4 linked regions of the Alligator mississippiensis genome follow. The protein of the gene in region 4 purifies or fractionates together with the protein of the main gene of each other region. This does not show direct contact. Links are inferred from orthologs where the notes say so. Each region holds a gene or a part of one and is shown on either strand. Other genes may lie near its edges. The genes, in order: STK39, LGALS3, RAB6B and SLC12A6.

Region 1 (7,867 bases), on a different chromosome or scaffold from region 4:
AGGCTCCAGTTCACCAAGGACCCTGGCCTGCAAGGCATTTAGTGCTAGTGGAAGAGGTTTAATGCTTTTAAAGGGACACACCCTGAACTGCTTGCATTATGTTATAGCCTAGGGGCTCATATTTTGATTTCTGTTTATAAGCTGGTGGACTGGGCTGAGGCTATTGGGGAAGGAGGAGGCCTCATTGGGGGCCCACTACAGTGTGGGGACCCCAGTGCCAGGGTGTGAGGTGACAAGGGGGAGAGCAGACCCTAGTGCCAAGGGGCATAGTTATAGAGGCTGGACTAAGCTGAGGCCTCAACTCAAGCAGACAACGTCGGTATAACGTCTGCGAGGTTTGGGGCGTGGTAAAGAAGTGATTTTGGAGCCACGCATCTAGCCCATAAGGCTTGTGGGTATTGTAGGACACCTCCTGAGTGTGGGACCCCATAAAGGGGTCCAGCAACCTACAGGGTTTCAGGGAGACTGTTAGTACTGTGACCAAGCAGCAACTTGAGGGCAGCCTCCCAATCCATCATTTATGACAGCAAGATGTGGCAGGTGAGATTAGTAGGGCGGAGCTTGCACGGTCACGGTGCCCTAGGGACATCACAGCCATCTCTGGGGTGGCCATATCCTGACACTGCCCAGCCAACCAGCAGTGCCAATGCTACTGGATGGCCCATCAAAGACTGATCTTTCATGTGCTGCGCTCTAATAGTCTGAGCAGCGTCTCACAGCAAGGGGCAGGAAGGAGGCAGACTATGGGAGCTTGGAATGGGGGGGATGCAGGTGGTTGGGGAGGCAGGAAGGCTGCAGGGGGGAAAAAGTGGGTGGGGCAGAAGTTAAGCAGCCCCCTTGTCTCCCCCCTTCCTCTTCATCCCAGCCATTGCTTTCCCTGCTGCAGGAATGGGGACAAATTTAAGATGACCCTCTGATAATTAGATTCTATTATATTGATTTCCACAGCTCATCCGTGAACTCTTGTTTTCAGAGGTTTGTGCCCCATACCCAACATGATCTACAGTACATGACTACTTCATTCATTTGCTACTGAAGTGCAATCTTCAGACTCTCCATCAGCTTGAGGAAGAATTAAGTTCTTCATCAGCCAGCTTGACGCCAAGCTTATGTGCCACTGAAGATGACTATCAAAGGAACTGAGCTAAATGCTGTCATGCAGTTTACCTACCTGGGGAGTGTCATCTCATGTGATGCCATGATCGACAAGGAGGTATACAACAGACTCTCAAGAGCCAGTAGTGCCTTTGGCAGACTCTTCAAGCATATCTGGAACAGTTACAGCCTACAGGCACAGACCAAAGTTCAGGCATACAGAGCTGTTGTTATCTCCATCCTCCTGTATGAATGGTGCTGAGTCATGGGTCTTATATCACCACCATGTACACCTCCATGAGCACTTCCATCAGTGCTGTCTCTGCACCATTCTCAAGATCTGCTGCTATTATGTCACCAATGTCGAGGTGCTACAAAGAGCCCAAACCACCAGCAGCAAGGCAATTCTCCTGCAGACTCAGCTGCAGTGGGCAGGCCATGAGGCCCAGATGGATGACATCTACCAAAGGCCATGCTGTATGGGGAACTGACAACTGGGGAAACATGACAGAAGGACCCCACACAAGTGCTTCTAGGACACCTGAAGAGATCCTCTTTTTGCCTGTGCTACTGACCACAAACTGTGGGAAACAGAAACTGCAGATCCAAATCAAAAAGGCAACAGCCCTCCTTTTGAATGTCAGTGCAGAGCCAGCATTGAGAAGAGGAGGAAAGATCTAGTAGCAATCAGCCATACACGTGTAACTGTTGCAGCAGGATTTGCCTCTCTCCAACTGGACTGATTATTCACCAGTGGGCCTACAACCAGAGTGGGCATTTATCTTCCTAATATCTTCATCTTTGAAGAACTGCCACAACACCTGGAAAATTATAACATTTATAAATTTTTCATATATGGAGTCTACTGGGGGGGGGGGGTCATCTTGCATTCAGAGTCATCTTAGCTTTGAGTAAATATGGTAGTTCTTGTCTTCCCTCACTGGAGAATACCCTGATGTATTTATAAACAGCAGTTCTCAATCAGAGTGCTGTTAAAACCCTTTAAGGGTGCTGCTCAGTATTAGTGCTACAAGGTGTATAAACACCTACACATGGAATCCATAGTGTTAAAAGTATTTTAACCTGCTGTGGTATTTATGAGTTCTTTGCTGTAGTAAAAAAACCAAAACAAAACAAACCCAAACAAGTGAAAGCTAAGAGCTGAGGGGTGCCTAAAAAGGTTGAACCACTGTTACAGACCCATTATATCCCTACTCAGCCCTGGTGGTGGTCTAAACAAGCCAAGTTCTTCTGGTTGCCTACTTTAAGGCAGAGCCTTCATTCCCTTATCATCCTTCTAGAAGTCTGTCTTTGCACCTGTGCCAGTTGGAGTTCATTCATCCTCAACATCTGGACCATTAAGCACAATTCTGGTTGTCCATACTGTTTCAACAGTGTGCACATTTAATACTCTTCTATCCCTACTGGAAATAACTCAGCTGATTAAAAGTTAGGATCATATTTGACTTTTAACAGCTGTATCAAACTGGGGGCTCACAGTTATCCTGTAATTGATTAGTAACACTCACCTCCTTCCCTGTTCTAGTCCTATTTAATTAGTTTATAGCAGAAGTCTTCATTTTTGTGCATAACCTTACATTCTGCATTATTGACTCTGACTTTCATCCCCTATCTGGTACTTTAGTCCTGAAGATTATAAGCATGCTCCTATTTCTTGTGCTAGTCATTAATAAAGCACTAAACAAAACTGATCATGAAGGAACTCCACTACTAACATGCCTTCAGCTGATACTTCATCTTTCAACACTATCCATTGTAGTCATTCCTTAAGGCAGCTCCTTAACCACCTTACAATTCCCCTACTCATCTTCATCTTCCCTTTCTTAAGTTCCCAGAGGCCAATGTATAAAATACGTTACTGAAATCCAAAGAGGAGAGATCGACTACATTTTCCTTGTCTAGAAACCATTACTATATGACAAAAAAATTAGTCCAATCCAGTTGTCTAACCCAATATACCTTTGGTTAAACCCATCCAATTTCCCCTTTGTATCCATGCCACTTATCATTGTTCTTTATTTCAAGGTCTTTACTTGAGGTCAGACTTACATATCTCTATTCTTAAAGAAATATTATATTTGCTTTCTCCAATTGAAAGTTACCCCAACTGCCTTTACAGTTGCTTGTTATCAGACTTGCAAATTCGTGTGCCTGTTCCTTCGGGTATCTAGGAGGTAGACTATCCCACCCCCCGCCAATTCATTAACATCTATACCTCTTCTTCTCACCCAGTAGTAGCAATTTCTATTTTCATAGCCTCATTCTCATTCTCCATCTTGCCTTTCCCCCTATGGCCAACAACATCACTGTTACTGAAACCTAAGGCCAAACATTTGTTAGTTTTTGGACATACCAAATTATCCATAATCTCTACTCTATCTTCATTGTATACTGGCCCTGCTTCTTTCTGTTCTGTTATTATATGAGTAAAGTACCTTTACCTATTTTTTGTGTCTAAATCAGTGTATGGACAGGTAAGTTACACTTTTTAAAAGGTCTGGGAGTTGTAGTAAGAAAGGATTGTGTGGTACGGCTGAATGCAGTATTGCTGCTGTATCCATCTCCTCCCAATAGCAATCAGTGAAGTTAAACTGGCAAAAGTTAGGTTTCATTCAGGGGTAAATTACTCTGGTACAGCCTCTTATTTGGCAGCTTAGGAGCAGACAGGTGAGAGTTATACTGGATGAGCTGACATCTGCTTCTGAGAAATAGATTCTGCTCTCTCCCCTTTAAAATCTTGTCATCAACCATCTGTCTGTGGCCTCATCCTTTTTGTCAGCTCTTACCTTTTCTTTAAAACACATTTATTGATTTATTTTTAATAAACAGGTCCTTTTTCTCCATTTCTAGTGGACCCCCTGCTTATTCCTTAAGGGGTTATTCATCCCCTTAGATGTGGAGCCCCTTCCTACAGTTCTTGTTTTACTCCTCTACTTGGCAAGATAGTTTCTTGATCCTTTCCCAACCTTGCCGTGACACGACAGGCCTCCTCCACATCGAAGGGCACCCTGCTCCTCAGTCCTGGCCGGCTCCCCCTTCGTGTATGAACTTGGCCATGGTGGAACCAAAACCTCAGCTACACGCTTAACTTTTGCTTCTCTTCCGTGTATTTAAACTCCCCCAATCCTAAGCAAAACACAGTAGAAGAGACTTTACGTTATTTAAACATCTCTTCAGGGGGAAAACACCCCGCTAATCAGGCAAGTCAGGCCTAGGCGTGCACCCCACCTCCTGCGGGTCCGCTGGTGTCCCGGGGCCGGGCAGGGAGCGCGGCTGCTTGTGGAGGCAGAGCCACCCCCGGCCGCAGCGACACACGCGGGCGAGCGTCCAGCCGGGGTGCGGGGGTACGAGCAGGCCGCAGGAGCCGGGAGCAGCTCCGAGAGCCCAGGGCACGGAGGGCAGCAGCAGCAGCAGCAGCATGGGCCCCGCCCCGGCGCGATGCACTGGCTGGCGGGGCTCGTGCTCAGTGCCGGCTGCTGCGGCTGCTCCCTCCTCTGCCCCCGGCTGCCCTGCCTCCTTCCTCCGCCGCGCGGCGGCTGCTGGCAGGGGGCGGGGCGGGGAGCGGTGCCGTGCCGTGCCGCTGGAAGGGAAGTTTGAAGGAGGTCGCGGGTGCCCGTGCACTCCGGTAGCATCATGGCGGAGCTGAGCGACTCGCCCGTGCACGTCCAGCCGACCCAGCCCGCGCCTGTTCCGGCCCCGGCCCCGACCTCGGCGCCGGCCCCCGCCGCTGCCGCCGCCGCTCCGGCCGCCCAGGCCCCCGCCTGGCCCATCTGCCGGGACGCCTACGAGCTGCAGGAGGTGATCGGTCAGTGCCGGGGCCGGGGCGGGGATGCTGCGGGCGGGATGCGCCGCCGGGGCCTACCGGCGTTTTCTCTCCGCTCCTTGCGGCGGCTGCGCCCGGCCCTGCCGCTGCGGCGGCGGCAAAGTTTATCGGGGGCTGGTGCCGCCGGGCGCGGGGGGCGGCGGCTCAGTGTAGCCCCGGCCCCGGCATTATTAACTTATGCCCTTCCCTGCTGCCCGGCCCGGCCCGGCCCGGCCCGGCCCGGCCCCGCTGCCTGGCGCCCGGCACGCGGCCGCTCTCGGAGCCGCGCCGATTACTCTGCATTTTCCGCGGCGGGGGCTGGGAGGCGGGTGAGGCTCCGCGCCGCCGGCGCCGCTGCCGCTGTGGTGGCGATTTCCTTCTCCTCGGCGAAAGCCGCCTTCCTCCTGTCACCCGCCCGGCTCCCCACACGCGGTGCGGGCGGCGCCCTGCCCCCTCGCCTCGGAGCTGCCTGGCCGGCCAGGCGGGAAGAGCCGGGCGCGGTGCAGCGCTCGGGCTCCTCGGGTCTGGGATGGGGGGCCCCGGCCCCGGCCCTCCCCACCCGCAGGGAACCTCTTGCTTTTCTGTGCACAGCCCACACCAAGGCTGCAGGAGTCCGAGGCCGGACCCAGGACGGCACGCGCTGTTCCTGAGTTAGGCCACGATCCGCTCGGCTCCCAAATTTCTGGAGCCTTGTGCTGCCCTGGGTTATCTTTAATATTGGAAACCGATGGCTGCTCGTCAAACGCATGACAGCCATAACTATGCGCTATCGATTTGCGTTGTAAATAGTGAGCGCTGGGTCCTGAAGCTGTTTATTTCCCATCGTTTGAAACCAAGTCTTGAGAAGAATAAAATTTTTTCCTTTGCAAGTTTTGCCAGTGCTTGGTTTAAAACGCCCACTCCCTTTCCTGCTTTATTCTAGTGACTGGACAAGTCTGAGGCTTGGTCTAGCCGTAAAAGTTCTGCCAGTGCAGGTGTGTTACTAGGAGAAGGGAGGCCCCTCGCTAGGAGAGCTCTCCACCACATCTCTGCTGGGGTTTCTGCAGTTATGCTGGCAAAACAACTCATTTTGCCTGGATATAGTTTACTTCGCTTTGCGAATGGGTCTTATCTAGCCTAGAGTAAGAACTTTTTATTTTGCTGGTATAGGCTGCATTTCCAATGCCAGGATTTGCTGGTATAGCTAAAGGAGCAAAGCCTATGGCACAGAAAAAGCCTTAAAGCAGTGCTTCTCAACCTTTTCTGTACTGGGACCCATTTCTAAACATCGATGACCCAGTGCCCTGCACTCCTGACCTGCTGCCTCCCACCCCTGGGCCCCAGTGCACCCCCCCCAGTGTTTGGCCATGGGGGGCCCCAAGTAGCCCCTAGCAGGCTGGAACTCTGCCATCCTGCAAGGGAAAGCCACTGTTTCTCATGGTTTTCTCTTTGAAAGGAAAATCCATTTTTAAAGTTTGTTCATCACCCTTTCATATATTCTTGTGACCCATGGGTCGAGAAATGCTGCTGTAGAGAATGTTAAAATAATTCTTATCTGTGTTACCACTGGAATCTGCAGCATGCTTTTTAAAGAATGGTTATCATCCTTTTCTGCACTTTTATAGAGCTTTCAGAAGTTTAAAATTCTAGATTTTTTTAAAAACATTCACAATTGCAAGGATGCACTTTCTTTTTTTCTGTAGAGATGATACTGCTTATAGACAGACCTCCCTGCTAACTGACTGGGTGGTATTGAGCTACAATATGATTAGTAAATACGTTATCAGGGTGGCTTCCCAGCAAGGAACTCAAGTTTGGACTCTATTGGACCTCATCCAGTCAGGTCCTGAGCACCTCCTACCCTGTGCTGAGTATCAACAAGTTCATAGGAGCGTTTTACCAAGTTTCGGTTAGTTACAATGACTTCTCTACTCTAAATGCAATGAGTAATACTTCATACTAGACAAATATAAAAATACCATGCTGAGCAAAATAGGTCTTTCAACTGAAGTTTCGTATATTGCTAATTTCTTTCTTTTTCTTCTCCTTTTTTTTTTGCCATAAGTGACAAGGGACTGCTATGACCGAAGCTACTTGTTTAAACAATAAAAATGACTTCTGACACTTCCATTGTCTGTACGTGGATTCCATGCCAATCTTTAAATATTAATATATAATTTTATAATAATATAACATTAATAACTAGAGGTATATCAGTATATTGGTCCATATCGGCACCAATAAAAGGAAAATTTACATTATTGGCATTCGTCTTTTTTGGTTGATAATATCACAGATAAATGCCGTGTACATGAGTGCAGCCGCAGCATGTATGCGGCCAGGAGTGTAGGCCGGCAGCTTGGAGAGTAGCAACCGGCTGGTAAGTCTGTTGGGGGGGAAGGGGAGGGGCAGAAGGGGCATAGAGGCAGATCAAGACCCCTGTGGTGAGGAAGGGAGTAGGACTGGGGCAGGAGCAGGCGTTGCCCAGCTGGGGTAGGTCAGGGTGTGGGACAGAGCTGGTGGTTCATGTGGGGGGGGCGGTTCCTGCTGCTGCGCCCACCCCCAGGGGAGGCATGGAAGGCATATGTTCCCTTGGATCTGTGCGTGGGGTGAGGGTGGGCTGCCATGGTATGCTTGGAGCTGGGGCTGCTCCAGCCTCTTCCTGGTGGGTGCACTCGGGGCGGGTGGGCGGTGGCAGTGCTAGGAGGGAGGGCTACAGCAAGTTTTGGGGTGGCTCTAGCCGCCCGGTAACCCCCTCTCCCAGTACTGCTGCTGCTTGCCCTGCCCAGCCTGAGTGCAGCCACTGGGAAAAAGCTGGAGCAGCTCCGGCCCCAAGCATGCAGCGGCATCCCGCCCTTGGCCCGTGCACAGATCTGGGGGCCCACATGCTCCCTGTGTCCCTCTCCTGGGGGTGTGCGCAGTGGTGGGAGCTGCCCGCTCCCCCCCACCCCTCCATACCTCCTGGGTGAG
Region 2 (7,209 bases), on a different chromosome or scaffold from region 4:
ACAAGAGATTTCCTAGTGCTGTGGCCGATGTTAAAAGGTGTTAGCATTAAGCAGCCCTTGGGTTAATATTATGTGGTCCAAGCAACATCTCCAATCTTCTCATAACCACAGGAATACTGTGTTTTGTTATTTTAACAATAGCTCTGGAGGGGCAATAGTGAGCTGTTGTCTTCTTCAAGAGTCACCTCCAATTTGGAGGTTATCTATCACCACCCTCCATCTTTGAGGGTCGGATGGCAGAGCTGTAAAACATGGTCTCTCGTGGATACTACTCCATCCTTCTGATGTAGCTACGCTTATTTTCCTCCTCTTTCCTAGTTTTCCTTCCATCTTGTCTCATAGTATAAAATGCAGGAATTGAGCCATTTAGTGATGACCGGGGTAGGTGTCCACAGAAAGAGCTTTTCCTTGAATCATGTATTTCAAGCAGCCGTGCTCTTTCCAAGTTCATCTTTCTGCACAGGTCGTCACTTGTGGGTATGGAGATCCGGCTGATTTCCAAAATTCTTTTCCAGCCCCAGAATTCACAGGTCTGATTAACCTCCTAGTGTTTGGTTGTATTTTTTCCAGTGTCCAGCTTCCAGAGTCAACCACGGGGGGGCTGGCCACATCTAGCGTGTCAGGTAGATGTGTAAAATTACCTTTCCGTAACGCAGAAGACAATGAAGATACAGAATGAACTTTCTGCAACAATTACTGTTTTCATTTTTCTACCGCATTTCCCATCTGATATAGGCAAACCGCCTAAGTACAGAAACTTATCAGTATGCCTGCAGTGACCCAAGTACAGAAACGTGTCATCCCTTGCTGTCTAGACAGAATCTTATACTTTGCTGCATTTTCCTTAACTTCCTTGTCTTGCTTTTCTTAGCATTAATCATCATTCCACAATTCTTGATGCTTTTGTTCAAGGCACTCAGCATATTCAGTTCTGCTCTAGTTGAAGCTCTGTGGCCCATCCTACGGTGTTATATAAACTCCATTAACTCAAATGACCTGCTTGTTATCTTCGAAGCCTTCTTTAATGGTACCTTATGCATACATGGTGAATGGGTACAGAGATAAAATTCAACCCTGGCAGATGCCTGCCTTTATCTTGAAATACCAAATATTTCATGTCTTACTCATATTGCCCTTGGTACAGGCTTTTTTGCCAAGAGGAAATCTTGTGAGCTGACACGGCAGTCTATAAGAATACACGTCAGTTGTCATGCGGGATCTTACCAGATGCCATCGCAAAAAATCAAAGCATAAAAGAACTCTTTCTACTCATTGGCAGAGTGTTCTCCCAGCGAGGATTGTTTCCTTCATGCCCGCTCCTGAGAGGGAGCAGAACTCACTTCAGCTGGTTTGCAGAACAGCAGCAAACGGTCTCATTAACCCTTTGGTTTCAACAACACCAGAAGACAAGGGTTTAAAACACTGTCTCACAAGCACCAGAACCATTCATAAGGGTCCACTGTCAGAGACATCTCCACTTTTACCCCTTCCTGCCCTGGTCACATTCTCCCTTCTAAGGACATGTAAAAGTGAGAAACGGCCAGTCAGCCTGTTACCTACTCGGTATAAGAACTGCTAGAAACAGCACGCCAACCCACCAGCTAGGATAGTCCGCTGCTCCAGCTCTGTGCATGTGCGTGTGCATGTGTAGGCCAAGGGATTTGCATGCATACATGTGCGTGCAGGTAGGCAGGGGAGGGAGGGTAAAGCCTGAGGACAAGGGATTTGTGTGCAGACATGTGTGTGTGTGTGCAAGTAGGCTCGGGAGGGAGGGTAAAGACTGAGGACAAAAGGGATTTGCGTGCATACATGTGCGCGTGCGTGCAGGTAGGCAGGGGAGGGAGGGTAAAGACTGAGGATAGGAGGGATTTGCCAGACAATTTCATTGAGGCTTCCCCAGAATATTTTCTTTTGGGCTGAACCTTTCGATGCTCAGTCTCAGACATTTTTATCTTAGAAAGTTTGAGGTGAGTCTCCACCAGCTTTTGGAGGGGAAATAAAAGATACTCTTCCTGGGCTTGGGGGTGGGGCAGGGTGTTCATGTTATATTAGCTACCAGTTTTTTTTTTTCACAAAAAGGACAGACTTAGCCCACTATCTTTCTAGGGCACTGGCAAAGTTTTTAAAAAGTTTACGGCCATGTTCAGCAAAGCAGCCTTGCCAACACCACAGTATCAGGGGTTTGATCTGCAGGTCTGAAAAAACACCCTGGCTCTATAGGTGTGACCGGAGGAACTGAGCTTAAGTTTTAAGCACAATTCGTGCCAGATCCAGTTGCCCAACCTCATTGTGCCAAGTCTGTCGCTTCCTCCCTTGTTAAAAAACAGTAAAGAGAGCATTACGTATGCAACCCTGAACCGACACCATTCGGGATCAGGTATGCACCCCTAAGCCAGGAAATTCAGTTCTCCAAGCTCATCCCCTGAATGGAAATGTGTGCCAGGACTCGGTCCCAGCGTCAGTCGTAACTCAACCTTTCCACCCCCTTCCCCGCAGAAGCCCGGCATGCTCCTCGCCAGGTGCGGCCCGGAGTCTCTCCCTGGGGGCGGCGGGACCCTGGCTTGATGCAGCCTTGCCAACTCCAGCGATGTTGGGTGTTGTTCTAAAGTCTACGCTTCCAGGGTGCGAAAAACGGAGCTCTTCCTTTTATGCCTATGTATATAGAGAGATAGGGATCTATTTATAGAGCGACAGATAGGAGAAAGAGCTAAGTTTTTCGCACTCCGGGAGCGCAGACTTTAGGAACAAGCCCAGCAGCAGGAGAGCGGGCAGCGCTGCTGCTGGGAGGGAAGACCGGGGACGCTGGAGGGCCCCGAGGCTCCACACCTGGCTGCCCGTCCCGCAGCCGCGTGCGGGGCCCTGCCAAGCCCCGTGCGGGGGTAGCGGAGCCGGCCCTGCCCCTGCCCCTGCCCCTGCCCCGCGGTGCGCAGCCCGCGCTCACCTGCGTGCGGGGCTGCAGCGGCTCCGGCTGCGGCTGCGCCAGTGCGCGGGCAGCGGCTCCAGCAGCCTCCCCGAGCCGGGCAGGGCGGGGCGGGGCGGGGCGGGGCAGGGGCAGGGCGGCCCTAGCTCCACCTCCCCGGGGAGGAGGAGGCTCCGCCCGGGATGGGGAGGTTGGTGCGGGGCTCCCCTCTGCAGAGGGAGGGAGCGGGGCAGAGACCCCGCGCAGGGGCCGGGGCTCTGCCCCTTCCCCGGGGGCTTGGCCGTGACGAGGCTGGGGGCTCCCCCAGCACGGTCTGCCCTACCAGTGGGGCAGAGGAGGCTAGGAGCAAGGGGTGCGGGTTGCTGCTCCCACACCCCCTTTTGGGAAATCCTGGATCTGCCCCATCTCGTCTCCTAGCTGATCTCTGAAGGTCCCTTCCAGCCTGACTTCTGTGACTGTCCACCAGGGCGGCAGGGCGAGATCCTTCGAAGGGTGTCCAGGGAAGTGTAAGGAGATGGGCAGGGTCAGGGTCTCCCTTGCCTGGCTGCAAGGAGGCAAGACACAGTAATAAATACACTAGTTTTTGAAACAGGGTGCTGCTCAGTTCACTACAGTTATGGAGCCGTGCCTCAAGTCTGATGAGGGCTGCAATGAGTCTAAAAAAGGAGGAGACCCACTGCCCTAGATCCACCCGGTTCAGCGCTCCCCCCTCTAAAATATCCACCCCCGCCACTCAGAGACAGGCCTATTGGATAAGTAAGGAGCAGTGGGCCGAGGCCCACCGAGAAAACTGCAAGCCTCCCTCAGTTGGGAAGGCACAACAACAAACTTCTTGGGACAAGAAAAGAGAAAGGAGGGTTGGGAGTGCCAGTCTCAGGGTAATAGCAAGTAGGGAAAATAGTAACAATAGCAAGTCAGCAACGAAATACTGGGCTGGATGGACCAACTGTCTAGCCCATAAGAGCTTATGTTCTTATCCCTGCAGCTGTGGGAGCCTTTCCCTCTGCCAGGCCACAAAGCCCTGGGCAGAGTTCCCTCCGCCCTGCAGGACCGGTGCAGCTGCCTTACTTGCTGTGGGACCCAGAACGGGTGCAAGAGGCCGGGGGTGGGAGACGGAGCAGGATCCCCATGGGAAGCCCAGAACATGCAGGTACCTTCATGCAGAGAAACTGCCTCCCTCCAACCTCAGCTGCTTGAAGACGTGGGGCTGATGTGGCTTAGGGCTGATACCGCTGACATCAGGGCCCCAGAGGAAGGGACAGCTGGGTCAGGCAGAGCTGAGGTGACTCTGGTGGTATCCCTCAGCATAGGGAGTACGGTTGGGGATGTACACAATTTAGTAAAGCAAGTTTCCTTCAGCATTTCTTGTATAGGAATCGGTATGCAAAATGGAACAGAAACCAATTTTTCCTCTAGATTAATCAGCTTTTGCTTCCAAAGTCCCCATTGGCATCTCTACATACAGTCTAGGCTGTCTACTGCTTAGAGGCCTCACTATTACCCACAACTTCATGGTCAGAGTAGACTAAGAAAAGCTACGTTCAGCCTGTGACCAGCCTACTTAGCGCTCACCATTGCCTTCAGACGCAGTGACATGTTCTACTGTATATGTATGGCTTTACATGTACAGATTTTTTTGGGAGTCCCTATGGAGGACTAGAAAACCTCCTATTTTTCTAGTCCTCCATAGGGACTCCCAGAAAAAAAATGTATTGATCACTAGGCCTGCTTTTCTCATGTGAAAAGTGAAAAAGATGTACAGCCAGCACCTAGGCCCCTTTCACTGGTCACCAGAACCCAGTGCTTCTTCTTTTTCAGGTCATGTCTCATGCTGTGCAAGATAAACTGCATCTACCCAAGCAATGATGCAGAGTAACAAAAGAAACAGTGTGCCCTGCAGCCGTCTCAGAAACTCCCTAGGTCTGTGTATCAATAGCTCTTTTCCAGCTACACTAAGGATTTCAAATACTATGGCAGAAAAGTTAACTGAGCACTCAGGTAGAGAGATGTCAGCATTATCCATTGGCTCAGGTGCAAAGGTTTGACATAGCAGACACTGCACCTTGCCTTCTGGGTAAGCAGGAGGGGAGCCGTGGCAGTGGAACCAGCATGACTCCAGACACTAGGGATTTAATGCAAAGGGGAATTCGGACAGGGGGTCCATAACCTTTGAATATCATAGAGCTCAGCTCTGTGCGGGACAAGTGCGCTTAAAGGAAAGGGAGCAAGGAGGTGGAAGAGATGGGTTGGGGCCTTTACTGCATGTTAATCACCTGAAAAATGAGCTCCAAGTAGAATATACATCCCTAGGACTTTCCTTCTGTGCCTGTTTAGTATGCAAAGTTTACCTAAAACTGGGAACAGGTTGTGCAACCACTAGATGTAGGTAACCTGGTCTGGAATAGCCCAAAGGCAGGCATGCATGTGTGATTGTTCCATGCATAATTAGGAGGAACCAGCTACATAGAAAAAAGAACAGACAAACAACTAGATTTAGAAAAGAGCTAGCAAGTTTCCAAAGAACGCGACTGAAGCGAAGATAAGGAATCATTGCGTGCCAGAGGGGTGTTTTATTGCAGGCCACAACAGACTTGTCTCTCTCTGCTACTTGTTCATTGGATTTCAAGGCAGTCGAGTTGATCACACAAGGCAATAGACAACAGAAAAAAAACCAGACTCTAGTACTGGATTTTTATGTTTTAAATTTATAAGTGGAAAGATACCATTAAAGACTTAGAGATATATCTCTGGGGGAAAAGGATAACTATCTGTTGCCAGACCGACACACTCAAACCTGTTGGGTCCGAACTGAGGAATTTCAGTGCTACACCCCCAAGTCTGGTGGGTAGAACTTCATAAGGCCATGTACCAACTCCACGTACCAAGAAGATTAAGCTGGAAAAGGAAGGCAGCCTCTTTAGTATGTGCCTGGGTGGCAGTTCTGCTGCTAGCCTCTTTGCACTTCTTACCCAATTTCTCACTGCAGTGCAGATCAAACTGAAACGTCGCGGCTCACTTCAGGAATATTGACACACAGGGATGCTGGAGTGGATGCTTCTTGCTGACCATCTCCCTGGGTTTGTGTATACTGCAGCCAGGGAGCTTTGCTACCTACTCATGAGCAGGAATTTTCCTTAGCACATTTGCGCTCTCTCTATGCACAACCATGGTTTTGCAATAGCTGTGATGCATTCTCGGCTGATCCTGTTATAAGTGGGTGTTGTGGCTACACAATGACTTTTTTTTTTACAACCTGGCACACCCATCCACACTGTTTATTTGCACTTGCAGCAAAAAGTCCTAGAAAAAGGAGGACAGCTGCCCCATAGTACTTAAGCAGGGGGGAGGGTGTCAAGAGGAAATGCATGGAGAATAGCACAAGAAACACACACACATAGCAACACCATCTTGGGAAGTGCAGCAGAACCAAGAGCAGCCAAATAACTGCAACAGTAGGGAAGGAGATGCTGCAAAACTACGATGCCGTTCCAGCCGAGTAGGAGGAGTGAAATGCTGTCAGCTACTACTGGTCGGCTCTGATCCAGGACAGTGCTTTAGTAATTGTTCAAGAGATTTCCTAAATCAGGACCTTTCTGAGCAGAGATTACCCCTGGTCCAGGTGTTCACAGGTTTGTTTAAAAGTCATAGTATGCACTAGGTACTGATGCTGTGTATTCCTCCTCTCTGCTGTGTATTAATGGCAGCTGGTCCGAATGTTTCAGTCCATATTTTTTTGGCTGTTTCTGTCCATACTTTTGACAACCCCCCCCCCCCCCCCAACATATAAATGGAGAAATCTTAAAGCTATTTAGGATTTATTTGAAAATCAAACTGCATGGTTCTGACAACTTTAGGTTTTTAACCAAACTGTTCAGGTTTGGGGGCGGATGCAGAAGAGGGTCAATGTGAATCTAAAATAAGCTGAAGAAAGTTTTTGGTGAAAATCAGAATCTCAGCTTTTGGTTCATTTTCCAGATATCTAAACTAAGCAGCACTAAACAGCTGCAGTAAATGGATGTTCTTTATGTATTAGAGGGCTGGGTCCAATAAGCTTTTTTGCACATGTTGTTATTAATTTGTGTAGCATACTTTGCCCTGCCTTGGCTAATATGAATCACAGGATTGTTACTCAGCATGGTCACATGCCTGGACATGGTTACTGTCATCTTAAAGTTTTGCTTCCTGTAAATAAGAAATGCAATCACTGGATTTGCTGCCATGGAAACAAACCAAAGACACTTCTGGTGAATGGTGTGATCCATAGTTACCACTCTCCTGTCTCCAACAGT
Region 3 (7,153 bases), about 6.0 Mb from region 4:
ATCTACAATCATCCTCATCAAGCAGCTCCTATACAGTGGAAAGGTGAATGACAAGGAACTAGCATAAAATGAGGAGAAGCTGATGCAACTGCTTCAGATTCTCAAGGCTTTCTCTGTCTCACATCCAAGTGAGCTGGTTTATTTGCAGAGAGGGGATTTATCTTGAGAGAAAAATAATAGTGATCTGTACACAAAGGTGTGCACACGCATCTCGGGGAAGTGCCTGCAGCAACAGAACGTATCCTTTCTCTTCAGGAACCTTTCTGCTGAACACGCTCTTGATAAAAGGATGCCTGGGAGAGACAATGAGTAGCCTAAACTCTGAATAAAAGAGTAGGCCAAATAATGCAAATTGTTAGGTTCCTCTAATAAACTCTTACAGTTAGGAAATCTGCAGATCTGAACAGCAGAAACACTGCCATGATTTTGAGGAACCTCTTAAGAAAAAAAGGCAATTATGGAATCAAAGTGAAGTTTGCAAACGTTAATTTACCAAGCAGCCTCCGCCCTCCTCACTTGTATTCATCTTTTCTATAAAAGAAAACAAACACTGTATTGAAGAAGATAATCATGTGCTTCTCTGCACATCGGTATTTTGTTTCAAGCTGGTTAATATTACCAGTTGTAAATCAATATATGGTAAGAGCACTCCCACGACTTTTTCCCCCCCTCTAATGATGTAAAGCTGGGGAAATCAATAATGCTGGGGAGGTGAAAGGCAAGGTGATCAGATACCATGGTGATGGCAACCAGACAGACAAAATGCTAGCAGTATAAAAAGGACCGTTGTGATATGCAGATTATCAGCCTCAACATACCAGCTGTGAAGGTTTCTTCAGTGAACCTTTTCCCCCTCTTACAGACAAGCAACACCTTTCAAGGTAACGTTCTTCAGCTTCTGATCACAGGCTGCCTTTGTCTGGAAATGGCTCCGCACTGACTGAACGCAGCTTAATGAGCTTGCCCCCCACCCCGTTTCTTGGAAATTCCACTCTGGGGACATGGAGGGTGGGAAACGTTATTGAAAAGTGGTCCGGTTTCAATTATTGCTGGGCTTTTGACAGCAACCAACTGTGGGTTATCAGAGGGTTATTTGCTAGCCAGAAAGCAGCCAAATTGGCTAGTTTAGGATGTGGTATCTGCCATCAGAGGGAGAAATACTGGAGCCTACATACTGAGGGGAGTTATTTCACATGGAAGGGGGAGAATGAGCAAGGAGGTCTAGACAAGGCTTTCTCTTGGGGAAGAATATGTGGCTGGCTACTTTCTCTACTCAGTGGCCAAGGGCTAGCCCACTCAGAACAGCGTTGCTAATTAGAGGAGACAGGCTGTATTGTCAGCACCATGGATTGATTAGTGGAAAAACCTACAATTTCAGAGACTACAGTGGAATTTTTGACCGTCCACAGCATCGACATAACTCGGCACCCAGTCAAGTCAATGAATAAATGACCAGTGGCTTCAATAAGAGCAGAATTAAACCAGTGCTGAGCATTTGGAAAAATCCTGCCCTCTGGGTTTTCAGAGCTAGAGAGCTCAGACAACACGTCAATCTCAATTGCCCGGCCCCGGCCCCTGCCCCTAGGCTGGGAACATGCCCCTGAGCAAGGCAACTGAGTTGGAGCAAGCCAGGGAAGGACCATTTTAACAGCAGCATAAAAGTTGTCAGGAAAACAGCAGAAGTGTCAAGCTGTCTTTTCTTCTCAATTATCCGGCCAGCCACTATTGGGCAAGCAAAACATGGAAGCCCAGGGCAGGGAGGAGAGAATAATCAAAGGTTGTGAGCACTGACCAGCAGCTGGGGGGTTCTTGTTTTGATAAAGGCAAATAAGAGATTTGACAGTGGTTTTAAAATGCAGCTCTGTGTCTGTGCATGTGGAGCCAAGATCATTTGGTCCCTGCTCTATGTGACAGCATATTCATCCAGCACCTCCAAAAATAATTAAAACTGCTTAGCTCTGTGTAGCCTGTCACAGCACTCCTAGCTATGGCAGGCTGGGGAATTTGCCTGCAAAGCTACGGGGCTGTATCTCGTCTTCTATGGAGAAGTGCATGATACGCAGCTGCTGAGAAGTTGGTCTGCTTCCCTGCCCTTGCCTTTACCACAACCAGAAAGCTAATGGGTGGATTCTCCTGTGGGTATTTCTGTATGTCCTTCCCATGAACGCCTGTCTACCTGGGAATCCTGTATGCAGCTTCCATTAAAGAAGGTAGCTGAAGCTGAAGAAAGGGCATCCTCTGCACGAGGCTGCCCTTGGTAAGGAAGAGCTGACACAAAAAAAAGCAGCAAAGCAGGGAAGAGAGGAGGGCACTGCAGAACGGGCAGGGTGGACGGTCCAGCGATCTTTTGTTCCAGCACCCACGCCTGGAAAAGCCAAGCCCTGCCTTGAAGAGAAGGCAAATGGAGATGGTGCCAGCTGCCAGATCTGGACCAAAGAGCACCTTGCAGCAGATGCCAGGGGGGACCTCCGTGCCGCCCGCCTTCCCTCCCTGGTCAGAGAGGCTGCGAGACAGGCGCAGCACCGCTTTGCTTTGAAAGCCCCAGCAACCCGCAACAGAGAGCTGCAGGCTTGCGACCGACCGGGCTCTCGGCCGCCAGCAGCTCCCCGCTCCGGGCGGCTGTACGCCGGGCCACCCGGGACCTTATAAAATAATCACTGAGCCCCGCGACTTTCCGTGTTGTCGCCCCTTATAGTCTGCAACCAGGCGCCTTTCGGGGAGCCGCCCGCGGCGGGGAGGCAAGCAGGCGCGGCTCGGTCCTGGGGGTCCCGGGCGGGCTGCGCGGGACACTGCATCGCGTGCGGCTCCGGCTCCGGCTCCGGCTCGGGGGGCAGGCGGCGGGGCGCATCTGCGCGGCCGGCCCCCTCGGGACACCCACGGGGTGCTCGGGCGGCCCCAGCAGCGAGGCTGGCGCGGCTCGTGTCGCGCCGGGTCCGCATCCCGCGGGGTGCTCCCGGCTCCCCGGGGTGCCGCAGCCCCCGCCCCGCCGCAGCACTCACCGCTCTGCTCGCCCAGAAACACCAGCTTGAATTTCCGCAGCGGGTTGCCGAAGTCGCCGCCCGCAGACATGGTGCAGCCGGGGCGGGAACGGGGACGGGATGCAGCAGCGGCTGCGGCTCGGCCGGGGCCGTCCCGGGCGGGGATGCGGCGGCTCCGCCCGCACCCGCGCCTGCGCCGTGCACCGCCCTCGGGGGGGGAACGGGACCTGCCCAGCGCCCCCCGGCTCCGCTCCGCTCCGCCCCCCCCGGGACCAGCCGCCTGCCACGCGGTTCGCCACCCAGAGGGACGCGCCTTCCCGCCGGGGCTGCCCGAGGGCCGGGCCGCCAAGAGCAATGGGCCGAAGTCCTGGGGCCACGATGGACAGACCTTCCCGCTCCAGTTTGGCCTGCTCCTTTTGACCGCTTCGGACAAAGATGGACGGACGTTCCTGCTGGAGGTTGGCCCGCTCCTTTTGACGGCCTCAGACAAAGACCTAGGATAAAGATGGACAGAAATTCCTGCTGGAGGTTGGCTCACTTCTCTTGATGGCCTCAGACCAAGAAGGACAGATGTTCCCGCTGGAGGTTGGCCCACTACACTTGATGGCCTCGAACAAAGACCTGGGACCAAGATGGATAGATGTTTCAGCTGGAGTTTGCCCCATTCCTCTTGATGTCCTTGCACAAGGACATGGGACCAAGATGGATTCAGAGTGGGATTAAAAAAAAAAAAAAAAATGGCGTTGCTCTTGTCAAGACCCACGCCTGCCTGCCAGACCCGCAAGCTGCGATGAGACGGACATGGAAGAGCACAAGCAAAGATGGTTCATTCCTAGCTTCATCTTCTGTTCCCACTTCATGCCTATAATGAGTGACTGCAAGAAAGGAGAAAGAAAATAGTCTATCTCCCCACCTCAGCTCTTTCCCAGAAGCCATAGGATTCTCTCCAACAGAGTATTGTCAAGTGCTTTGTTCAGTGTAATCTCAAATGACTCCAGCAACGAGACTTCCACCATATCCCCTGGGAAGCTCTAACACAGTTTAATAGACCTCTCAGTTAGGAATTTTTCTCTTGATATTCAGACTATATTTCCTTTTGTTCAGCTTCATGCTATTATTCTTAATTAAATCTGGTAGGAGCATTGAAGTTTCTCCAGTACCTTACTGCTTACACCTCTCAAGTACTTGCAGACATCTATCAAAGCTCCCTCAGTCATCATTTAAATAGGCCCTTTTATTTAATGCATTAATCTTTCCTCACAAATTGGCTGCCACAGCCCCAGAATCCCAGTCCTGGTCTCAGAAGGCCAATCTCCTTTTTTCCATGATATGGCACCTCGGGTTTACAGGACAAATGTGCCCTGCCTCTATCATCATGCTATTGTTCATATTGAATTTTCTGCCCTCTCTCACAGTGAGATCCTTTAACCAGTTCTACTTGCTAGCTGGATTCCTCCAATGGAATATTAAGATTTGGGATTATTCTCCCCACTCTTCTGAAGTCAAATCTTTTCTTTCCTTTCATTTCTATACTTTATTTCAAATTCTGTAGGCTCCTTTCTGTTCCTCCCTTGTCCTCCTTTTGCCCGGTTTTGCTCCTAATGAAAGAACATTACAAATATCCCAACTGAAGTGGAAACTATTCCTGTATACTTCTTCCCACCCAGACGTATTTCTGCTTATTGTTATCCTGCACCTACATTTCTTCAGCCTGATTTTTCATTCAAGTGCCAAATTCATTCCCAAGCACAGTGTTAGTTATAGGGAACCACAGACTAACAATGTTCTTGAAATGGACATGCTTTTTGGGTTTTTTTTAAAGATGTTATAGGTTAAATGAAATCAAAAGCAAACAGGACGAGCCAATATATAAATCTCCAGAGATCAATGCTGCTAGATCACAGATTAATTTCAACCATCTTGTTTATTCACCATGGATGCACTTACAGTTTTCCTTACTTCAGTATTGCTTCCCTTACTTATCAGGGGTGGGATGACATTAAGTTGATTTAGAAGGGGAAAAACTGGCATGGGTTGGGACTCCACCAGTGACTGCTGCTCAAAGTAGCCCTTCTTTCCCACCATGACACGTGGTCGTATTAGGGCAGGACACCCCAGTGCCACCTAGCAAAGCAAGAGCAGTGTGGTGGTCAGAAGGAAGGGCTACCTACTGGTGTGATATCAGCAGACAGGGGTGACAGCTGCCCTATATCTCTCTTCACCAAGTGCCTTTATCAGTGGAACAAGGCTTTATTTTCAGACTAGTTAAACCAAGGCCAGGCTCATTGGTGTAGTAAGAGAAGTCATAGTTTAGAGATGCTTCTTAAAAGGAGGCTGAGGTAGTTAGGGATTGGGAAATGGTCCCTCAGTGAGGGAGCAGCTAGCAGTTAGTTCGAAAGAGACAAAGCCAGAGGTTGCCTACTGCTCCACAATTCAAGTGTATGGTTTAGTTCTTCTCCTTCACTGTATGCCTGTGCTTATTCCACCCAATTCTCACTACAGTTGGCTTGATTTTGCTGTGCCTCTTTGTTCACCCTGTCTACCAAGGAGAAAGGATAGGTACAGAAGCCAGGTCTCTAGAGCACTGGTCCAAGGTCAGGGTTGACGTGACCTTGGACTCTCTCATCTAAGATGCAACTCAGTCCTTCCCACTTATATTTTTTATCTCTTCAGCATAAGGACCATCTCAGCTGGGCATATGCATGGAACACAACAATATGGTCTTGATTTTGGTTGGGGCACATGCTCACTGCCATACCAGTAGGGCAAGGGCTCCAAATTGTGCACCAGGCCCACTGGAGTTTGGGAGCACAGGACAACATACTGCAAATTTTCTGTGCCTGTCCTTTCACAGCATCTGATGAAGCGAGTTTGGCCTCACAAAAGCTTATGCTATTTATGTGTGCATCTGTTCTAGTTAGTCTCTAAGGTGCAAATCTTTACCTTCAGCACACTGCAAGGGCACTTCCTGGAACCGACTGCTTAAGCCAACACATTAAGTCCTGAGGTTGTATGTGCCCTGTGAGGAAACAAGAATATCAAAGATCTCTGAAAACTATAGCACGGGGGCCTGTTTAGTGCCCTCAGGGGATATGAGCATAACTCTGCTGGGAAAGAAAGCCAGACCATTTTTATCCATCAAAAGATGTCTATGTGGCTGATTGTGAAACTCCACTTGTCTACTGTGCTCTTTTAACCCACAGGCTGGTTTTGCTGCATCCAGCCTACGTGATGCAATGGATGCAACAAGGTGTTCTTAAGACACACAACTTCAGTCCAAATGCTCCATGCTGGCTCCAGAGAGGAATCACATTTGCATCTCCATGTTCACGTCAAGACCAATGTTGCATGGAGGCTGAAAACATTGTTGAAAGCACTCGTTAAAAAGGCATGCACCTTATTTGCATGCCAAAAGCCATCACCCTCTAAGGTCCTTTGCTGTTGACACAGCTGGATGCAAGACCAAAAAGGCAACATTACCAGAAACAGTAAAACTTGTCAATAAGAGATCGTTAAAGAAACAGCAGCTGGAGACCGTCAAAATAATACAACAGCAATCCATTCAGTGACTAACAAGATCTATGGACCAACTGGTTAAAAAAAAAAAAAAAGTAATAAAAGCCACACACACTAAATAAGAAACATTTTTAAGGGAGTAAAAATTAAAGACTACATTGCTCCAGTAAAGCCATACCACCATTTTCCTTGTTGCGGGGTCTCTGAATGAACAGAGTGACTGCATTGTATATACTTTTAATGGACTGATTTCTGGATGCAAGCGTAACCCACTGGTAAGTAATGGCTCTTTGTGCTTAATCTACAGAGACTCTGCAGGTAGAGGGGCTTGGCTCTTTAGTTCAAGCTATAATAGCTCATGCTTTACCTCTGAAGGTCCCTAGTATGCTGGGCAAGATGGCAACTATCATCTCACATACAAATGAAGGCAAAGCACAAACAGCACCAGCTGGAAAAGGGCATCTTCAGTTTTTTTCCCTCTCTGCCCGAGAAAGTCCTTCACTTCTTTCTCCCACACTTCAAGGAATGTTCATCCAAGCACCACCCCCCCCACAGTTCTTTTTGGATCAAGTACTACTGGAAAGACTTCCCCTTAAGGCCAACAGGACCATCCCTTCACTGGGGATAAAGGTGGGTGAGGCACAGGACATGCTTCTCCA
Region 4 (7,792 bases):
TTGATATCTTTTATTACACCAACTGAGTAGTTGGGGAAAAGTTCATTGCAAGCTTTCAGGTGCAATCACCCTTCTTCAGGCATAGGAAGTCTCTGCTGTTCTGAGACTCCAAGAAATGAGAGAAGCTAGAAGTGTGGCGGGATGTCAGTGAGAACGTAAATAGGTAGAAATCAGGAAAATAAAAGGTAAAGCAGGGAAGGGTGGGGGGAGGGGGGCAAAGGTGAGTAAGGGGGTGTAGGTTGTAGCCATGTTGGTCTAAGGACGCAGGCAGACAAGGTTCTTTGGGTAAATCTGATATCTTTTATTAGACCAGCTCAAATAGTTGGAGACATGGGCGACTGGTGCCACCTTTGTGGAGGGGGGGCACGTGCCCCACCCTACGACCAGTCCTACCAACTTGGGGTGGGGGAGGAGTCCCCCCTCCACAAAGGTGATCTCGCTACCGGGGGGGCCCCCGGAGCCGTTCCTGTGATGGCCGATCGCTGTGCTGCAGCCTGCAGCAATTGGCTGGTGCTTTCAGGGGGGTACCTGCTCTCCGGCCTGCCCCCACACCCATCACTGAAGTGGTGAGCACAGCCTGTCAGAGGGTGCACCTGCGCTCTCGGGGGGGCACGTGCACCCCCATGCACCCTCTACCTGTCTGTCACCACTGACTGGAAAAATTCTTCTTTGCAAGCTTTCAGGTTTACCCTTGGCCAGGCTGAGGAAGCATCTGCAGTTGGTGTGTGCTCTTCCTGGATGGAAGCAATAGTAAAGGAGCCAAAGGGGAATAAGGGAGACTGCAGTCATACAAGGCAGAAAAGAGGCTGTCTGTACAAAAGGAAAGAGCTGGAAATTTGGAAGACAAAGGGCAGGACCCGCCTAGCTCCTTAGACCAACACGGCTACAACCAAGACCTCAGGCCCTGGAGAAACCCTCGGCAAGCAGATCAAGTCCCGCGTTTGGAGGACCTGCAGCTTGGTTTGGCGTGTTCATTTCCTGGCCAAGCACAACGTATTTCCAGAGGCTGAGGCAGAAACGGGGCGCTGGGCGGGCTGCCCGGGACCGGCGTCTCCTACAAGTCCCAGAGTGCCCGGGGAGGGGAAGGAGAGGCGGCCGCAGCTCCCGCCCCCCCCGTGCGCCGGGGCGGTCCCCGCTGGCAGTCGCGGGAGCGGGCGCGCTGGGAGCACGTGTGCGGCTGCGATCTGGGGCCGGGTCGGAGCCGGAGCCATGTTCCTGCAGTACTATCTCAACGAGCAGGGGGACCGGGTGTACACCCTCAAGGTGAGCCCCTGCCGCAGCCCCGGGACCTTTCTCGCCTTCCCTTATCTGCCCCAAGATCTCTTCCAGCCTCCCGCGCACGTCCTGTGCAGCCGGGGCCGTGTGTCGCTCTGCCCCTGGGTGCAGGTTTGCATCCCCCTGGTCGGGGGAGGCAGGCAGTGGGACAGCCCAGGGCAGGTGGGGCAGGGGGGTTGTGCCCCAGGGCTGGGGTGGGACCTGGGGGTCAGGATTGAGTAGTCATGGCAGAGTTGTGCCCGTGGAGCTCAGGGCTTGGGGGGGCAGCGAGTTGGGGGTTGAGTGACATGCCCTCGCCACCTGGGTGGAGGCTCAGAGCTGGGAGAGGAGGTGGCAGTGAGTGAAGCACAAAAGTGGAGCCGTGGGGGGTGGGGACGTCAGGGTGGCCAGACTTGGGTATTTGTATTTTAGGACCCAGTTGCCGTGACCTGGTATGATATCATCTCTTTCCATTTCCTTCCCTGTAGAAAGTAAGCCCCTCTGGCCAAGTGACTTCCTCTGCACATCCTGCCCGCTTCTCCCCAGATGACAAATACTCCCGCCACCGGGTCACCATCAAGAAGCGCTTTGGCGTCCTCATGACACAGCAGCCGCGGCCCATTATGTGAGGGCAGGCCTTTTCCCAGCTGGAAGCACAGAAACGTGCCCCTGACTGCCCTGAAATGGGACAGTCCTGCTCAGCTGAAGCTGGCTCAGTGGCTCCCTCTGCACCAACTCATCTTCCACTCCTTTGTTTATCCCTCTCCTTGTGATCTGACTGCTGATCCTAAACACATCCTAAAACCTTTCCCCATTCTCCTCTTGTCTGTGGAAAAACTGCTTTGATTCCCCTTTTGATCAAGCCAGAGTTAATCACTGTAGTTGAAAACATGGTTTGTCTTTTGATTGCCAATAAATTATCTGATGTTTATTTCTACCCTTAGCCCAGACTCTCCTTCCCTGCTGAGCTTTTAACCCTCTAGTAGTGGTGAAGCTGTACTCATTTGTTTCATGCTGTGCAGATGTTCATGTTGTGTTAGGAACTTAAGCATAACAAGGGAAGGTTTCTGACTAAGCTTTCATTGTTTTAGTAGGGAAGCATATTCATCATATTAGAAATGTGAGATGGCCTTTATTAGATGTGGGGGAAAGCTGCATTCAGGGTCTGATATGGGATCAGGTGGTTGGGCCGCATGGCAGGAAAGGTGGGGAAGATTCTACAAAGTGAAAGAGAGGAGACTGCAAGCTTGATGGAAGAGAATAAGCTTGAGTCTCTGCTGCTCAATTTGAGAGGGAAAGATACTGAATGCTAGTATCCCAGCACTGCACCACTCAGCTGCTTAGCTTGGCATTCAGGACTGGCATCAGTAGTGTAACTAAAGCACCCACTTAAGGAGTGCAGAAATAATACTTACCACAGATGCTGGCCCGCCATGCCACCAGCAGCCTAGCCGCTGTCTTTGACTTGTGCGTTGCTGGTGCCCAAGGTGTCACACCCATGATAACTCTGGGGGCTCTTGTTTATCCAGAGAAATATAAGACAACCCAAAGCAAGTTCCTTTGAATGATGCACCAGTTTATTGGGATATTATCAACCTATCAAAATTACTAATAGTGGCTATATGCAGCAGAAAATACATAGATATACTCAGTACTAAGCAGCGAGCTCTGAGGGCCCTCAGAATCCATCCTTATAGTTGAAGCAAGTTCCAGTTTCCCACACAAATGCCTTTGTGTGGAGGAGTTTTATACAGCTCAGATTCAAATTTCTGTATTCCTGCCCATTTCTCTGCGATAACTCTGTCTTGGCCAATCACGTAGGGAGCAAGGAAGCTCTGAGTCCTGACCTGTGACTGCTGTTCTTACCTGGAGTCATCACTTGGTGTTATCACCTGCCTAGATATCTCAAGTGTAAGAGTGATGTAGCTGTGATGGTCCAGAAATTATGCGAAAGGCAAGGATTTCTTAGGGTGAGATCTTTTATTGGACCAATTAAAGATCTCACCTTAAGAAATCCCTGTCTTTTGCATAGCTATCTCAACACACTTAAAACTATCCTGTTTCTCACATACTAATCACTGATTCAGACTGGACTGCTTTTGGGATCAGTCTACCCGGAGAAGGAATGTCATGAGACCCAGCGCTGGGCAGTTTGGGGCCTCGGGGCTCTCCAACAAAAGTGCAGGGCTGCCTTGTTAACACCTCTGTTTGCTGTGACCTATTTGGGACTGCCAGCACTTGAGGCTTCTGTACTCATTGCTATAACACGTAGGTTGGTTTTTATTTCCGCGTTTTCCCTTTAACCTGGGATTAGAAATGGCTGAAAAGGCCATTTTATGCAGCACTGAGAGAGATTAAATCGGAGTTTACTGAATCAATGTCCATTCATTTGTGGCTGATGAAAGAATGTTGTATGGGCAGAGTTTGGAACAGAACCCAGTCAGCTGTCCTGTTGCTGCTTTAACCACTAGATATTACTCCCCTGCTAGAGCCAGCCATAAAATCTAGGTGTGCCCTCCCAGGTCCCTGCCCTGACGTCAGAGGCTCATCCCACAGCATGGGCTGCAGCCTAGGAGTCATGACTTCTGGACCCCAGCAGTAACTACTAACTAGATACTGCTTCCCTACCACAGCTTGGAATGCAATTATAATCCTTCTTCCCACTTCTATCTTTTCCTTTTAGCTGCAAATCAGCTCTACTCATTTCAGAGACAGCAGAGAGTTCAGCATACTTTCACTGAAGTATGTGATGGATAAAGGTCACTGAAAGTTTGGGCTGTGCCTACCACCCAGAGGCCTCTTAAAGAGCCCAGCACTGTCAGATCTGTGCCAAAGAGGGAGTCACTAGTGTCATAATTTATACAGAGAGGCCACAAAGATGGGGATGTTCATTAACCCGAACCACTGAGAAATCCTGGGCCTGCTGCGCAGGCACCAGCACCCAGGACTCAGCCGGGCCCAGGGAGGCGGACAGGCAGGTGCCTGGTTTGCAAGTGCAAATATCAGCTGTCGCCTCAGAAGAGTCCCAGGACTCTTTGTCAGAGCCTTTGGCCTTTGGTCTTTGTCAGAGCAGGTGGACACAGAGCAGGGACAGCCAAGCTCTGCAGGACACAGGACCACTGGTCTGACACGGAGGCCCCAGGGCCTTGGCCAGGTGCCACACACAGCCTTCTGCCCCGGGATCATGAAGGGAAGGGCGCTGAGCTGCGCCCCTATCCCTCATTGCTCCCCACTCCTCTACGTCATCGCTCTTCCTGCTGAGGCTGACCTCAATGGGAGGCTAGAAGACATCATGAGTCCTTCCGGTCACGAACTACAACTCCCAGCGGCCCCCGCGGCCTGCCCCGCCCCGCCCCGCCGAGCCGGTGCCTGCGCGTGCGCATGCGCCGTGGCGGGCGGGAGGGTGAAGTGCGACTCTTCCAGCCCCAGAGCCCTTGCACCTGGCAGCCTCTTCTTCTCCCTCCTCCCCGGGCGCGGCCTCCGGGAGCAGACGCCGGTCCAAGGTAAACGACCGCGGCCCCTAACAGCCTTTCCCGCCTTTTTTGGGGGGCCCTATTCACGGGTACAGGGTTGGTGCGCATGCGCAGCTGAGCGTTCTCACCCCCTCCCGTTCCCCTAATTTAGTGGCAGGCTGCGCATGCGCAACTTGTCGCCCCGTCTCAATGGCAGGTGCCTGTCTCTCCCCATTACAGAGCAGCAGCTGCGGCATCCCTTGCAAGGCCATGTGCTGCCATGGATCCCCTTGCCACCACTGTCTGGCCCCTGCAGCAGGTCCGCATGGCAGGGCAGTGTTGGCCCCAGGCTTAATGCTGCCCCACCCCCCTGCCCTGCCACCTTGACCCTTGCTTGGTTTGGTTTGGCTTGGCTTGGCTTGGCGATCCTTGGGCTGCCCCAGTTTGCTGTAGCAATGGCACTGAGCTTGGAGGGGGCGTGCACATCCCAATACTGTGGGCTAGTGTGGGTGAGGCCTTGTCTGGTGTCTCCTTGGACCGAGCGCTCTTTAATAGCAACCTTCTTGTCCCATGACCCTAGGGAAAATCCAGCTGTGTTAACCTTGGGAGCTGGTGGAACTGGAGCATCGTTGAGTCACGGGGACCTCGTGGGCATTGCGTGGAAGAGTTTTTGCCCGGCGGGAGGATATTCAGCTGCCAGAGCCCTGAGGGATGGTGGCAGTCCTACTCCAGGACTTGGGATATTCAACCTTCCAGCACACTTTTTTGGTGCATCCAAAGTGCAAGGTGTATTAGCACAGAGTGCTCTTTGGGACCTGCTGGCGTACTCGCTGTCCTTGCTCGCCACACCAGAAATCGGTCAGTGATTCTCCTCCTCGTGCTCGGATCACTTGGTTTGCTTGGTCTCTTCGCACATTTTGCACCAGGACTTGGTGAAACCTCTTGTCTTTTTTTGCACTTTCACATGTTTCTAACCAATGGACCCCTCTTCAAACCAAATCCCTTTTTGGATATTTACCCAAAAAATAATTATTTGCATCAGGACGTGAAAGTTTCTTCTTGCCTGTTTTGGCACTGGAAGTCTGCAGAGTAGTAATAGTAACGGATTATCTGTGCAAACAGTTTCAAATCAGGAACTCTGACAAACAGCTCACTGAGTGAATCAGATAGCTGTTGATTGATTTACTGGGTAAACCATGGGTCAAGCCCTGCACTCCCTTCTTAGCCACACCCATGGAAAATTCACTTGATAATCAAGAGGTGTCTGGACACCACATAGTAGCAGATCACAGGAGATCCATGGTAGACATGCATTTGCTGTATGGTGGAACTTCTTGTTATGCAGTTCATTTTGCTACCTTCTTAAATTATCACTTCTTTTTTATTTATTAAGATTTCTGGATGATCATAATTTTAACATTTCCAGGAATGTATTAGATTGTTCCACCACCCTCCCAACAACAGCAACACAGTAGCTACACAATGGCTTCTGTCCGGTTCATGGTGACCCCTACGAAAATCGATGACATCCCAGGCCTCTCTGATACCAGCCCTGACCTCAGCTCCCGCTCTAGCTCCCGGGTTCGCTTCAGCTCCCGGGAGAGTGTTCCTGAGACAACCCGGAGTGAGGGCATGAGTGACTTCTCTGTAGCGACTACATCACTGGCTACGGTAGCAGCTGATCCAGCTAGTGATAAGATATCCAACCCTCGTGATGTGACAGAAGGTAAGAAGGATGTAGATGTTGATGTATGCGAATGAGGGGACTGAAAGTTATGGATGGTATTAATGCTTCTGGGTTGGCTTGGGCTTCTGTTGGACGTTAGAGGGAGACTGCTTCTGTATTAATTAGCAGTAAAGGAGGATGTTCTGTGGGGATGTAGAATCTGTCCACCTCAGTTTGTGCATACATTGGAAGTGGAGGCATGTGTTTTATGATAGCAGTGGAGATTGATCAACAGCTCCACCTTTAGTACATCCATTTGCTAGTTATTTTGTGGGCCCTTTGGAAATAGCAGACCTCTTCCAGCTACACTAGGGCCACTTCTTGGTATGTTGGAAATGCAGTGAGCTCTTTCAGAGCTTTGGGGTTGTATCCATTTGAACTGATGGCTGCTTTAGAGTTGATCACATTTAGGGTGGATGGTATGTTGCTATGACTGTTCTCCATAGGTAGTGGCATCTCACCAGATCTTCTGGCCACATGGAAACTCCTGGAATATCATGGAAGAGCAAAATACTTGCATTAAAGGCCAGGCTGGCACTGTGTTTGTGTTTCCTGGGAATGGGTGCCCACTTAGAGCTTTTCAGTTTTATTAGTGAGGTGACGCCCTGCTTGAAGATAGAAATAGCCATGTGAAGTCTGCATTTTCAGTGCATTTGTGGTGTTGACTCTGAACAGCTAAACTTGGTTCTGCTTTTCTTCAGACTCTTTTCCTATATTGGGAAATGCTGTATAAAGCCCGGGGGAAATGACTTAGGGGAATCTCGTTTCCTGTAACTGTGTTGACTTCCTTTTTATTGAAAATCTAGCCATAACTGGCTGCTAAGAGTCATGGCTTCTATTGGGATTTTTAGATAAAAGTTATGAGTTGGGGTTTTTTTTAGCTATTAATCCTGAGTCTCTTAATTAGGCACTGTGGCTGCCATAATGATACTGCAGGTAGATGAGTGCCTCTTTTTGGTGTTAAAGAATATGTACAATGAAATGCATCTGTCTTCTTAGGTGGGCCAGCAGCGTAACAGCAGCATTATATGCGGGTAGTTCCAAAATGTGGAAATCAGGAATGAGGCAGGGCAACTGGTCTACCAGTCACATTACCTTGGGTACATCTACCAGGGATATGGATCATCACACTGACATGGTTATGCTGTGTCTAGCACCCAAGCTGACCTGCTACTGCCCTGTCCGGTGCAAACCTGAAAGAAAGCAAAGGAGAACTCTGTGTTGCATTGAAACTGTAAAGTGGGATTTAGGGGAAGCAGAGGTGGGTCTTTAGACCTGGGGCACTCTGGCCGAAGTGTCAGGAGGTCTTCTACAGTGGTCACAAGCATTTGGGTCCTCATTTACACATTTTTCCTTGTGC

What was found.
Region 1: the proteins of SLC12A6 (region 4) and STK39 purify together in Homo sapiens (affinity purification with mass spectrometry; 3 studies listed by BioGRID and IntAct, with this or other methods). This does not show direct contact. The link is inferred for Alligator mississippiensis from reciprocal best matches to the Homo sapiens genes SLC12A6 and STK39.
Region 2: the proteins of SLC12A6 (region 4) and LGALS3 purify together in Homo sapiens (affinity purification with mass spectrometry; 3 studies listed by BioGRID and IntAct, counting the BioPlex papers as one, with this or other methods). This does not show direct contact. The link is inferred for Alligator mississippiensis from reciprocal best matches to the Homo sapiens genes SLC12A6 and LGALS3.
Region 3: the proteins of SLC12A6 (region 4) and RAB6B purify together in Homo sapiens (affinity purification with mass spectrometry; 4 studies listed by BioGRID and IntAct, with this or other methods). This does not show direct contact. The link is inferred for Alligator mississippiensis from reciprocal best matches to the Homo sapiens genes SLC12A6 and RAB6B.

Annotation. Positions count from the first base shown.
Region 1 is NC_081827.1:214,961,970-214,969,836, forward strand, and holds the start of STK39 (STE20/SPS1-related proline-alanine-rich protein kinase), read left to right. Parts: upstream 1-4,668; 5' UTR 4,669-4,749; coding exon 4,750-4,921; intron 4,922-7,867. UniProt on the Homo sapiens protein: Effector serine/threonine-protein kinase component of the WNK-SPAK/OSR1 kinase cascade, which is involved in various processes, such as ion transport, response to hypertonic stress and blood pressure.
Region 2 is NC_081825.1:293,160,471-293,167,679, reverse strand, and holds the start of LGALS3 (galectin-3), read right to left. Parts: upstream 3,027-7,209; 5' UTR 2,942-3,026; intron 1-2,941. UniProt on the Homo sapiens protein: Galactose-specific lectin which binds IgE. May mediate with the alpha-3, beta-1 integrin the stimulation by CSPG4 of endothelial cells migration.
Region 3 is NC_081830.1:30,392,650-30,399,802, forward strand, and holds the start of RAB6B (ras-related protein Rab-6B), read right to left. Parts: upstream 3,156-7,153; 5' UTR 3,070-3,155; coding exon 3,000-3,069; intron 1-2,999. UniProt on the Homo sapiens protein: The small GTPases Rab are key regulators of intracellular membrane trafficking, from the formation of transport vesicles to their fusion with membranes. Rabs cycle between active GTP-bound and inactive GDP-bound states.
Region 4 is NC_081830.1:36,384,321-36,392,112, forward strand, and holds the start of SLC12A6 (solute carrier family 12 member 6), read left to right. Parts: upstream 1-4,620; 5' UTR 4,621-4,757; intron 4,758-5,286; 5' UTR 5,287-6,188; coding exon 6,189-6,432; intron 6,433-7,792. Other genes in the region: NOP10 (H/ACA ribonucleoprotein complex subunit 3), read left to right, coding at 1,210-1,263, 1,743-1,883.